3 linked regions of the Arabidopsis thaliana genome follow. The protein of the gene in region 2 interacts with the protein of the main gene of each other region in a biochemical or structural test. Each region holds a gene or a part of one and is shown on either strand. Other genes may lie near its edges.

Evidence for each region.
Region 1: the proteins of AT4G18950 (region 2) and CAM8 form a complex in vitro, tested with the Arabidopsis thaliana proteins (one large-scale study listed by BioGRID).
Region 3: the proteins of AT4G18950 (region 2) and AT2G41090 form a complex in vitro, tested with the Arabidopsis thaliana proteins (one large-scale study listed by BioGRID).

Annotation. Positions count from the first base shown.
Region 1 is NC_003075.7:8,395,619-8,399,374, forward strand, and holds the start of CAM8 (calmodulin 8), read left to right. Parts: upstream 1-2,093; 5' UTR 2,094-2,181; coding exon 2,182-2,260; exon of another isoform or gene 2,261-2,344; coding exon of another isoform or gene 2,345-2,369; coding exon 2,370-2,527; intron 2,528-2,948; coding exon 2,949-3,029; coding exon of another isoform or gene 3,030-3,077; exon of another isoform or gene 3,078-3,087; intron 3,088-3,756.
Region 2 is NC_003075.7:10,373,721-10,377,476, forward strand, and holds the start of AT4G18950 (Integrin-linked protein kinase family), read left to right. Parts: upstream 1-1,523; 5' UTR 1,524-1,964; coding exon 1,965-2,297; intron 2,298-2,405; coding exon 2,406-2,480; intron 2,481-2,571; coding exon 2,572-2,667; intron 2,668-2,754; coding exon 2,755-2,840; intron 2,841-2,925; coding exon 2,926-3,046; intron 3,047-3,128; coding exon 3,129-3,208; intron 3,209-3,302; coding exon 3,303-3,365; intron 3,366-3,471; coding exon 3,472-3,578; intron 3,579-3,708; coding exon 3,709-3,756. UniProt on the Arabidopsis thaliana protein: Serine/threonine protein kinase that phosphorylates proteins on serine and threonine residues. Mediates blue light-dependent stomatal opening in guard cells by promoting plasma membrane-type ATPases (AHA1 and AHA2) phosphorylation.
Region 3 is NC_003071.7:17,133,272-17,137,027, forward strand, and holds AT2G41090 (Calcium-binding EF-hand family protein), read left to right. Parts: upstream 1-2,075; 5' UTR 2,076-2,551; coding exon 2,552-2,627; intron 2,628-2,730; coding exon 2,731-3,091; intron 3,092-3,208; coding exon 3,209-3,347; 3' UTR 3,348-3,728; downstream 3,729-3,756. Other genes in the region: AT2G41080 (pentatricopeptide (PPR) repeat protein), read left to right, coding at 1-1,283; AT2G41082 (uncharacterized protein), read left to right, coding at 1,554-1,658.

The sequences.
Region 1 (3,756 bases), 2.0 Mb from region 2:
AGTGAGCTATTTAAGGTTGCAAATATATTTTATCTATATTTTAACCTGAATTATTTTCCCACCTAGGAAGAGTAAAAATGCAAAGATTACTAATGAAGAAAAGCCCCATAATTTTGTTTTTTTTTTTGTTTTTACAATTCGTTTCTAGAAACTCAAAATATGAAAAGTTGAATCGTTTCAAAAAGAAATTGCTGGTTCGTTAATTTGCTACGTCTAATCGTTTATTTATAATTATTTTCTTATATCGTGCTTATGAACTTATAATGCAACGTATGATACATGCATTTCCCCTACTGTTCGAATACCAATTGCAGATTCAATGCAAGTCAGCAAGTATCTCCTAAATTATTTCTTAGCAGTAGATATTCTTCTTAATGATTACAATCTTTTAGCAGTAGATATTCTTCTCAATTATGATATGTGACGTGGAATATATATTTTCATCTGTTATATAAAAACAGTCGCAATTATTCAAACAAAATGTATAGGAAAATAAATAAGTGGTGTGAATATGTGATTCAAATGAATCTGTAATATTCTCAAAATTCCTACCTCCGTGAATTCTAGAAAATGTCGTCGATCGGAACAAATTTGAAAATAGAATGATTTGTGTGGATAAACTTTTAAATCATTGTGTGGGAACGCACGGATTCTACAAAATCATGCTGGCCAAGTTAAGCTTCATAGCCTTAATGCATTCACAGCTATGGACAGTCGAGTTGTACGTTAATATGTCTTCTATGGACAGGAGCGGGTAAGATGGCCAATGAGGTCATTATGTTGAGATGTACGTAGACAAATTTCAATGTTGTTCTTTCTGAGTATTAAAAGAGTGTGATCACTGATTTTGAAGTCAGAAAAAACAAAAGAACATGTTTAAAGCGTCAAGTTTATCGCATCGTCTCGGTTCTCAGATTGTGTATTTGGTAGCTGCGGTGGTGGCTAAATTGCGGTCTCTTTTGTTGACATCACTTGTATTTCTTGACTAGTTATTTGTGCTACCTGGTTTTGAATGTGTCTTGCTAGTGCGGTTCTTCATAATTGAAGTTAGTGCTGCAATGAGTTATCACCTCTTGTTGCGTTTGTTTTGTGTTCTAGAAGAGTTAGTAAGATCGATGGTGTTCGATGTGGTTATGAATCGCATAAATCATGCTCTGCTCTATCCGACTTTGGGGAAAGAAATTGGTAGATGGAGCTTGCATCGTTCGCATAATTTGGTTCTTGAGGTTCCATATTATTGGAAAGCTTATGGACTTGAACAACGAGTCACTGTCACATGACGCGAGAGGAGTTTATGCCAGAGAACTTTGAGTTTCTACCGTTGACGGCTCATCCTTAGACCTCCAATTCAAAGTTTTTAATGCAAATAGTTTAGCATTATGCTTTTTTCAAGCAGTAGTTACCCTTCTTCTTAAAAAAACAAAAAACAAAAAACTTAATTATAAGATAAAATTTCAAAATAGTCATATTTTTATCTAACTCGTTCGGCTTCAACGCTTTGGTTGAGTTGATTGACCAAAACTTGTGAATCACGATGTATGCTTCTATGTTTTATTTTTCTTGTTATAGGATCATTTGTATAGGCTTAAAATCTTTTGATTGTAAATTTATATTTTTATCATTTCAATAAAATATTTTTATTTTTATTTAAGAAAAAACAGAAAAAAACAAAAAACAAAAGAACATAATTGTTGCGTACAAAATGAGTGGCTAATGGGTTTGAACTAGACAGAAAAAGTTAGGGACGTTTTATCAAAGACTATTGTAGGCTTATACTTGTTTGTTTTAGGACTTGTCGTTCTATGTCTATTTGTAGTAGTCTCTACTTGTTAGAATAAGATGATTTTTTCAAAACTAATTTTGCACAAGTGATTTGAACTTTAACAAACAGCGACAATTATTAATTTATTATATGGGATTCAGCCATGTGACTAGAATTAAATTGTTCAATCCAAGAGTTCTAGACCCAAAAAAAAAACAGTACTGCCCTTTCAATTTAAAATAATTTGAGAATCAATTAAAGAGCTTAAAGTAGTTGAAAAGTACATAAGTCCAATGTAGAAAAGGTCTTGTCACAACTCTACATATAGACCATAAATCAGAGATTTAAGCACTTCAAACCTTGAGCTCCCTCCTCTCTCTCTCTCTCTCTCTTTGTCTTCAAAATATTCTCAGAAAACAATGGAAGAAACAGCACTGACAAAAGATCAGATCACTGAGTTCAAAGAAGCCTTTTGTCTCTTCGACAAAGACGGCGACGGTTCTCTTCCTTTCTCTAGATGGTCATATATAGAATAAAGATAATAAAGACGACGACTAATATTATGTTGTGTGACATTTATTTATGGTTGTTTGGAATCCTTTAATAGGTTGTATAACGGTGGAAGAACTTGCAACAGTGATCCGTTCGTTGGATCAGAATCCGACAGAACAAGAACTTCATGATATCATCACTGAGATTGATTCTGATAGCAACGGCACCATTGAATTTGCTGAGTTTCTCAACCTCATGGCCAAAAAACTTCAGGTTCCACTCTCTCTTGATCTCTCATGCTTATTTATTTCACAACTAATTACATCAAGTTAACGTAGCCACGTACAAACCAAAAAGTTACATCAAGTGAAATTTTTTTGTCTATATGATTTCTTATATATTATGTTATAGGTCCCTTATTGTAACTCTTTGATATGGGATCCTAACAGGTTCTAGTCAAAATGGAGCTGTCTCATTCATTATGCTTCTAGTTTATTAAAAACTCTTAAGAAATATATTGGAAATATTCAGCTTTTGTATTACAGCAAAATCTGTTTTGCTTTCGGTTTTTCACTACGAATAAATCTGATTTGTGAAGAACTAGACACGTAAATGTGTATAATGTAAACAAAGACTTTTATGACAATAGTTTTTTTGTATGTTAAGTTGTTGTCATGATCATGTGATGGTTTAGGAAAGTGATGCGGAGGAAGAGCTGAAAGAAGCATTCAAAGTCTTTGACAAAGACCAAAATGGATACATCTCTGCCAGTGAGGTCCGTGACTCTTACTCTCTTTTTTTTCTCTCTTTATTACTAATTTGATATATGTGTCAATGTGTATATTTAGTTAGATATATGCTTGACTTATTGAGAACTTAAAAGGGAACTTATGCGGAAAATCCTCTTTAAGAACTTATAAAAACAAATTAGTTCGATGCACTGGATTGCGTTTTGTACAACGTTCTCCAATAATACCATGTACGGTCTAACTGTGTTTTTATTTGGTTATAAATGATTAGAGCTATAATTATTTAGATTTTTGTATCTACTAGAAATCCTTATCTAAATTTTGGTTATTGTCAAATTTAGTTTAGGTACATGAACCAATTTCATAAATGTCTTCTTTGCTTAAGTGGTACATGCTCTATATCTCTAAAGTGTCGTCAAATACAGGCTAAGCACAATAATTATGAGCATAGTATTTTTATGTAACCACTTGGACCAATTAATTCTGCATTAACTAGAAAAAACGAGAAATCCAGCTAAAACACACTTTCACATATGTAGAATCAATGACAAATATCAGACAACAAAGCCAGACGATCTTCCAATTTAAAGAGATCCATAGTTGTCTCATTTATGTTCTAAAACATTTTTTAACAAGACATGGCCATTTATTTATTTGATTTTATATTTTCGAAAGTCTGTTTTCCATCGTGAGGGCTTAGAGCTAGCTGGCATTGTGAATCTTTAGAGAATAACGAAGAGGAACAAAAGAAAT
Region 2 (3,756 bases):
GGTTCGGCTCAAATTTGTTATCGGTTTGGTCTAAATGTATCTTTGCCTCTGGCTTAATTCTATGTTAATATGAACATAGTTTATGGATCTTGTGGGAATATTCCTCCTTCTGTTTCTTGTTAAGTGTTTTGGTTTATATCTTGAAGAAGAATGACCTAGTCAAGGATTTGAATCATTGGACTCTTATCAAACTGATAATATCATAATAAGATGATTCAAGATATAATATTTAAAAGCACACAATCATGAATCAATTTGGAGTCTAGTTGACATTTGTTACTAAATTACTAACAAAAGGTTCAAAAAGTTTGAATTGACATTAAAGATAAGAATCATTGATAAGGGTGCAGGAGGAGGAAAAAGCTATAAGTAAACAACTTGTCATTCGTCGAAACTAAAATATGATAGCTATGTGCATATGTTTTAACATAGATTTAAAATTTAATGTAAAGTTTTTTCATCATAATTTAGTACGAGTATAGGACAAAACTTGGTAAGATTTTGCTCGAATTTCGTAAAATATAATACTTTCTTGAAACTTTTTATTTAAGTAACGTTGACATTCATGTGACGTGTATGTATCCAATTTTGGTTAATAAGATGCTATGAAATCTAATTATTATACTTTCATTCAACCACTATTCGTATCTAATTAATTAGAATATTCTTTTAATTTTAGTAAACCAAATGAGCTATAGAAAAACATCTCTATAAGAGTAGCTAGGAACCAATTTGGAATGTATAGTTGACATTTGTTACTAAATCACTTAGAGAAACTCCATAAAGTTGGATTGAAATCAAAGGAGAAGTAATATTAAAATGTTTTCAGCAGGAACATATGAGCTATAATTAGACAACTTGTCATTTAAGACAACAAATTGATTATCATCATGTCTTAAGATACGAATGTCAAAATCTTGACCTTGCATGTTAGTTGTTATACATAACTGGTTGAAAAGATAGTTAAGTCTAAAGGTTGACAAATGATGAAATAAAAATTAGAAAAAATGTTAAAGCCATACAAATCCACATGTTGTGAAGTTGAATAAGTAAGTTAAACGAGTTTTGGTTCTAAACTGAAATTTGACCCCCAAAAAAAAGATGAGGATGCAGATGTCAATCTTTACCTATTCAATGTACACCACAATAAATTGAATCACATTCTTAGCATGAAACCTTATCCAATTTGTTTGTATATTTTTTCCTTGGCCAACTAAAGTGGCTATTATCAAGAAACAACTAAAGTACCCTGTAAATTGATAAAGAAAACAAGTGGAAAATATGTAAATATATCATTTTAGAATTCAAACCAAAATAGAACTCATGTAATCTTATAATTCTTATCCCCTTTTTAAAAAGTCTTTAATTTTAGACATGACTTTAAAAATTCACGAGCCAGGTTGGTTACAAACTTACAAAAACTCGTCGGCGCATGTAAAACGCAGTCGTTTAACCGAATCGAATCCAAACACGTGCGGGTTCATCCACACCGTTAAGTTTCATCTGACGCTGTTTACATCAACGGCTAAGATTTGTTATTCTCTCTTTTCGTCAACGCATTGTTACCGTGGCGCCAGATATGACGTCTATATACGCGCATAAAATCACGTGACAAACACGCGCTCAACAAAAGCTGGTTCTTCTCCTTTTCCTCTCCGATGACTTTCTTACCGACCAGCTTAGTCTTCTCCATTACGGCATCATTCACCTATAAATTTCGCCGCTGGGTTTAATTCTCTATTCATTCAGAACCAAAAAAGAAGAAACCTTTTTGATTCTCTTTGCGATTTCTTTGTTCAATCTCTTCTCAGATTGTGTGAATCGGGTTTAAATCGGGGTTTTAGGGTCTCTGTTTTCAAAAGGGTACCAAAAAGTTTGGAGCTTTACTGTAGAAAGATTTGATTTTTCGTTGACCCACTCCGAGATTTTCGGATACAAATCAGGGTTTTAGGGTTTTTGTTGGAATGGAAGAGGATTATCAACAGCCGAGGTTTACGATTGGTAGGCAATCATCAATGGCGCCGGAGAAGATTCCGGAGCCGTCGGTTCACTCAGAAGAAGAGGTGTTTGAGGATGGAGAAGAGATCGATGGTGGTGTGAGACTAATGTATTTGGCTAATGAAGGTGACATTGAAGGGATTAAGGAGCTTATTGATTCAGGGATTGATGCTAATTACAGAGACATTGATGATCGGACTGCTTTACACGTGGCGGCTTGTCAAGGATTGAAAGATGTTGTTGAGCTTCTTCTTGATCGGAAAGCTGAGGTTGATCCTAAAGATCGTTGGGGAAGCACTGTAAGAAGAAACTAAACCAATTGCTTTTTTTTTTTTTGGTGATTGTCTCTCTGGTTATGTTGAGTAATGATGATGTTTGTTAGTGATCTAATACGTTTTAGAAAACAGCCATTTGCAGATGCGATATTTTACAAGAACATTGATGTTATCAAGATTCTTGAGATACATGGAGCTAAACATCCGGTAAGAATCTGGCTAGTAATGTTGGTTTTGGTGTTTGATTGGAAGCTTATTTGTTTTTCTCATGATTGTTGACACATTTGTATGTTTTCAGATGGCTCCAATGCACGTTAAGACTGCTCGTGAAGTCCCTGAGTATGAAATAAATCCTAGTGAGCTTGATTTCACTCAAAGCAAAGAGATAACAAAGGTAAAAAACATGTTTCATCTGTAATGGATCTTGTATCTATAAGTTTGAGTCTTTTTTGTCTTAACAGTGTGAAGATTCTTGTTTCAGGGAACTTACTGTATGGCAATGTGGCGTGGTATTCAAGTTGCGGTGAAAAAGCTGGATGATGAAGTTTTGAGCGATGACGATCAAGTGTAAGTAAATATCCTGTAGACGGTTCTAACTTCTAAGGTTTTGGATTCCAATTCCTTACCATAATCTTTTTGTATGTGCGTGTAGGAGGAAGTTCCATGATGAGCTTGCATTGCTCCAAAGGCTTAGGCATCCAAACATTGTGCAGTTTCTTGGTGCTGTAACCCAAAGTAACCCAATGATGATTGTGACTGAATATTTGCCCAGGGTACTGACTTTCTCTGATAAATTTGAAATTATTTTTGCATTTAGTTTCACGAAACCAAGATCTCATTTGATATATTCTTCAGGGGGATTTGCGTGAATTGCTCAAACGAAAAGGACAATTGAAACCAGCTACTGCTGTTAGATATGCCCTTGATATTGCTAGGTATGCAAGTTGAAGCTATATATGTCTCTTCTTCGTTGTTTATATATGTTCTATAAGATTCTCTTGTAAATCTTACCCGTTCGAATTATCCTAGGGGAATGAGCTATCTTCATGAGATCAAAGGAGACCCTATAATCCACCGCGATCTTGAACCTTCGTGAGTCACACTGTCCATATCAGTGGTTTCTGTCTCTTATATGTGCAGTTACTGACAGCAAACTCTTTCTGTTTTCGTTCTGACATTGGTAAAACTATATTTGCAGAAACATTCTGCGGGATGATTCAGGGCATCTGAAAGTTGCAGACTTTGGAGTAAGCAAGCTTGTTACTGTTAAAGAAGACAAGCCTTTTACATGTCAAGACATTTCTTGTAAGTACTTTTTCGCACCCAACTAGTTACTGTAAATTTTGAATGCTTTAATTCTTGATCTGCTTGGTTAAAGAGTCTTCATTACTGGATGTGTTATAATAAAAATTTATCGGTGTTATCCACATTATAGGTCGATATATAGCTCCCGAGGTTTTCACTAGTGAAGAATACGATACAA
Region 3 (3,756 bases), on a different chromosome or scaffold from region 2:
ATGGGAAATTGCAAGATGGCGAGATTGTTATAAGATCAATGCCGGTTCGTAATTTGGTTGCATGGAATACACTCATCATGGGGAACGCGCAAAACGGATGTCCTGAAACCGTGCTTTATCTGTATAAGATGATGAAAATCTCAGGTTGTAGGCCGAACAAGATCACATTTGTAACTGTGCTCAGTTCTTGTTCTGACTTAGCGATAAGAGGTCAAGGTCAGCAGATTCATGCGGAAGCTATTAAAATTGGGGCTAGCTCTGTCGTAGCTGTAGTTAGTTCATTGATCAGTATGTATTCAAAATGTGGGTGTCTTGGAGATGCAGCTAAAGCTTTCTCGGAACGTGAAGATGAAGATGAAGTGATGTGGAGCTCAATGATTTCTGCTTATGGGTTTCATGGACAAGGCGATGAGGCAATCGAGCTGTTTAATACTATGGCAGAGCAGACGAACATGGAGATAAACGAGGTCGCGTTTCTGAATTTACTTTATGCGTGTAGTCATTCTGGCTTAAAAGACAAAGGGCTTGAGTTGTTTGACATGATGGTGGAAAAATACGGGTTCAAGCCAGGTTTAAAGCACTACACTTGTGTGGTGGATTTGCTCGGTCGAGCAGGCTGTTTGGATCAAGCCGAGGCAATAATAAGGTCTATGCCAATAAAAACAGACATTGTTATATGGAAAACATTGTTATCTGCGTGTAACATACACAAAAACGCAGAAATGGCACAGAGAGTCTTTAAAGAGATTCTTCAGATTGACCCTAATGACTCTGCTTGTTACGTCCTGCTTGCAAATGTTCACGCCTCAGCTAAGAGATGGCGCGATGTATCAGAGGTGAGAAAATCGATGAGAGATAAGAATGTGAAGAAAGAAGCGGGAATCAGCTGGTTTGAACACAAAGGTGAAGTTCATCAGTTTAAGATGGGAGATCGCTCTCAGTCTAAATCTAAAGAGATCTATTCATACCTGAAAGAACTGACTCTGGAGATGAAGCTGAAGGGATACAAGCCTGATACAGCGTCAGTATTGCATGATATGGATGAGGAGGAGAAAGAATCAGACTTGGTGCAGCACAGCGAGAAACTAGCGGTTGCATTTGCGCTCATGATATTACCTGAAGGTGCACCGATTAGAATAATCAAGAACTTGCGGGTTTGCAGTGATTGCCATGTTGCTTTCAAATATATATCGGTGATCAAGAACCGAGAGATCACGTTAAGAGATGGTAGTAGATTCCATCATTTCATTAACGGAAAGTGTTCTTGCGGCGATTATTGGTAGCTGGGCAGTTAAAGTATGCTATGACTCTCTGCTTCAGAGTCTTTCTGGAGTCTTAAGCACTCAGATTGGATCGGGAAGCCATCTGGGACGAAAGCATTCAGCAGCAAGGGTAAAATTACACTGCGGGTAGTAGCTTTGTAGTCTACCTTGAGATTGCTCCTGCCTGTGTTATTCTTGAGTCAGGAACATGAAGTGGTTTGCTGTCAACTTTACTTACTCAAGCCATCTCCGCAAGGTAGAAACTATGGTTCGCGTTATTTCGTATGTACCATGTTTTTGGTCGTTTGTGTAGTTTCTAACCTTCCACACCCTTGGCTTGCGATTCTTTCCAAAGCAGAGATGTTAGATCAGAGGATGGAGTGGGTTCTCAAGTAGAATGCACTTGCGAATCCCTCAGATCAGATTTTTCATAGGTAAAGTTCGTTAACTTCAACAACACCACTTTAGTAAACATGTGATAATCAATCGTCATAAGCATCTTCGATTCATTTTTATCTTATGCAAGTGTTTGCTTTATTATGATTTGTTAAGTTTTGCATAAATACGGACGTTGAAGCACTTCCCAGAACTCATGAGTGTTTTTATAAACTATTTATTAAAAGTTAGTATAAGAAAACTATAACATAAAAGTAAAATATAATTTAGACAAATGTAGCGATTGGTCCAGTTACTCATCCAAAATTCCAAATGAATCTTCCACCGTTGATAATTCTATTCCATTGTTTTCTTCTGTAGAAGACCATATATTATTAAGTCTCTAGTCCATTGTCAATAAATGGAAATACAAAAAAAAAAAAAAAAAAAAAAAGAAGAAGAAGAAAAAGACAGCATTTAATGAACGAAAATAATATTAATGAATTTGGAAGAAGGAACGAACCAACGAGAAAAATCAACGAAATAATTTAGACAAATGTAGCGATTGGTCCACTACCCATCCAAAAGTCCAAATGAATACTTCACCGTTGATAATTCTATTCAATTGTTTTCTTCTGTAGAAGACCATATATTATTAAGTCTCTAGTCCATTGTAAATAAATGTTTCTTTCAAATAAATGGAAATACAAAAAAGAAAAGAAAAAAAAGACAGCATTTAATGATGATAACGATTTGGAAGAAGGAACCAACCAATTAGAGTAACAAACCAAGGAGGCGACTCACATGAAAGCAAAAGCTGACATGGCAGTGAATTCAGTTTTATAAAAAAGGCTTCAAGGCCGAGAGTTCGTAGTACAAACTCTTCTCTCAGTCATCACAGAAAATAAAAAACAATGGCGAATAAGTTCACTAGACAACAGATTTCAGAGTTTAGGGAACAGTTCAGCGTATACGACAAGAATGGTGATGGTATGGTTCATCGTCTCTATTCCTCTAATCGTACATATTGGATCCTGAATCATCTTCAAAGCACTGAAAATGACTAACACAAGTCCTTGATTACTTCTTGTAGGTCACATTACCACAGAGGAGTTCGGTGCCGTGATGCGTTCCCTCGGTTTAAACCTGACCCAAGCTGAGCTTCAGGAGGAGATCAACGATTCGGATTTAGATGGTGACGGAACCATCAATTTCACTGAGTTCTTGTGCGCAATGGCTAAGGACACTTACTCTGAGAAAGACCTCAAGAAAGATTTCAGACTCTTTGACATAGACAAGAATGGTTTCATCTCAGCTGCTGAAATGAGATATGTGAGGACTATCCTCCGGTGGAAGCAAACTGATGAAGAAATCGATGAGATTATCAAGGCAGCTGATGTTGATGGTGATGGTCAGATCAACTACAGAGAGTTTGCCAGGCTTATGATGGCCAAGTGAGATTTAAACAACTTTTCCGCTTCCCCTTTTTTTACTACCTCTTATCTAATTTCATAAAGAATGTTCCTCTCTTGTTCTTAAATTTCATTCTGAGTTCTTGTGTGTATGGCTAGGAATCAAGGTCATGATACTAAATATGACACAACTGGTGGCACTTTGGAGAGGGACTTGGCGGCCGGGGTTGCCAAAAATATCATCGCAGCGCCAATGACCGACTTCATCAAAAATTTGTTCGAAGCGTTGTTTTCTTGAAATGGTACATCAGTAACTTTATGCCATTAGGGTCTGGCTGGTATGTTAGATCTCTCTAAAAAGGCGTTTGATCTTTGAAAATAATTTCTATGTAATAAATTTATTGTGTTACCATCTTTTCTTGCATGCAATTTATTAAAATGAGTTTGTAATATGGTTTCAGTATCGAATATAATTGGGGTATCAATGTATCTTTTGAGAAAAACATTTAAAACGTAGCAGAACTAATTATTGAAAACTGGTAGCATTACTAAAAATTGATCTAAATCGGTTAATGATTTGGCACATACAGTGATCAAATCAGCTAAGCCTCATATCTCACCGTCCCAGAGTTCTTCAAGACTCTTATAAGGACTCATCTAATGAATAATGACATGCCTCGCACCAACCTGCCCTGCAACATTGAAAA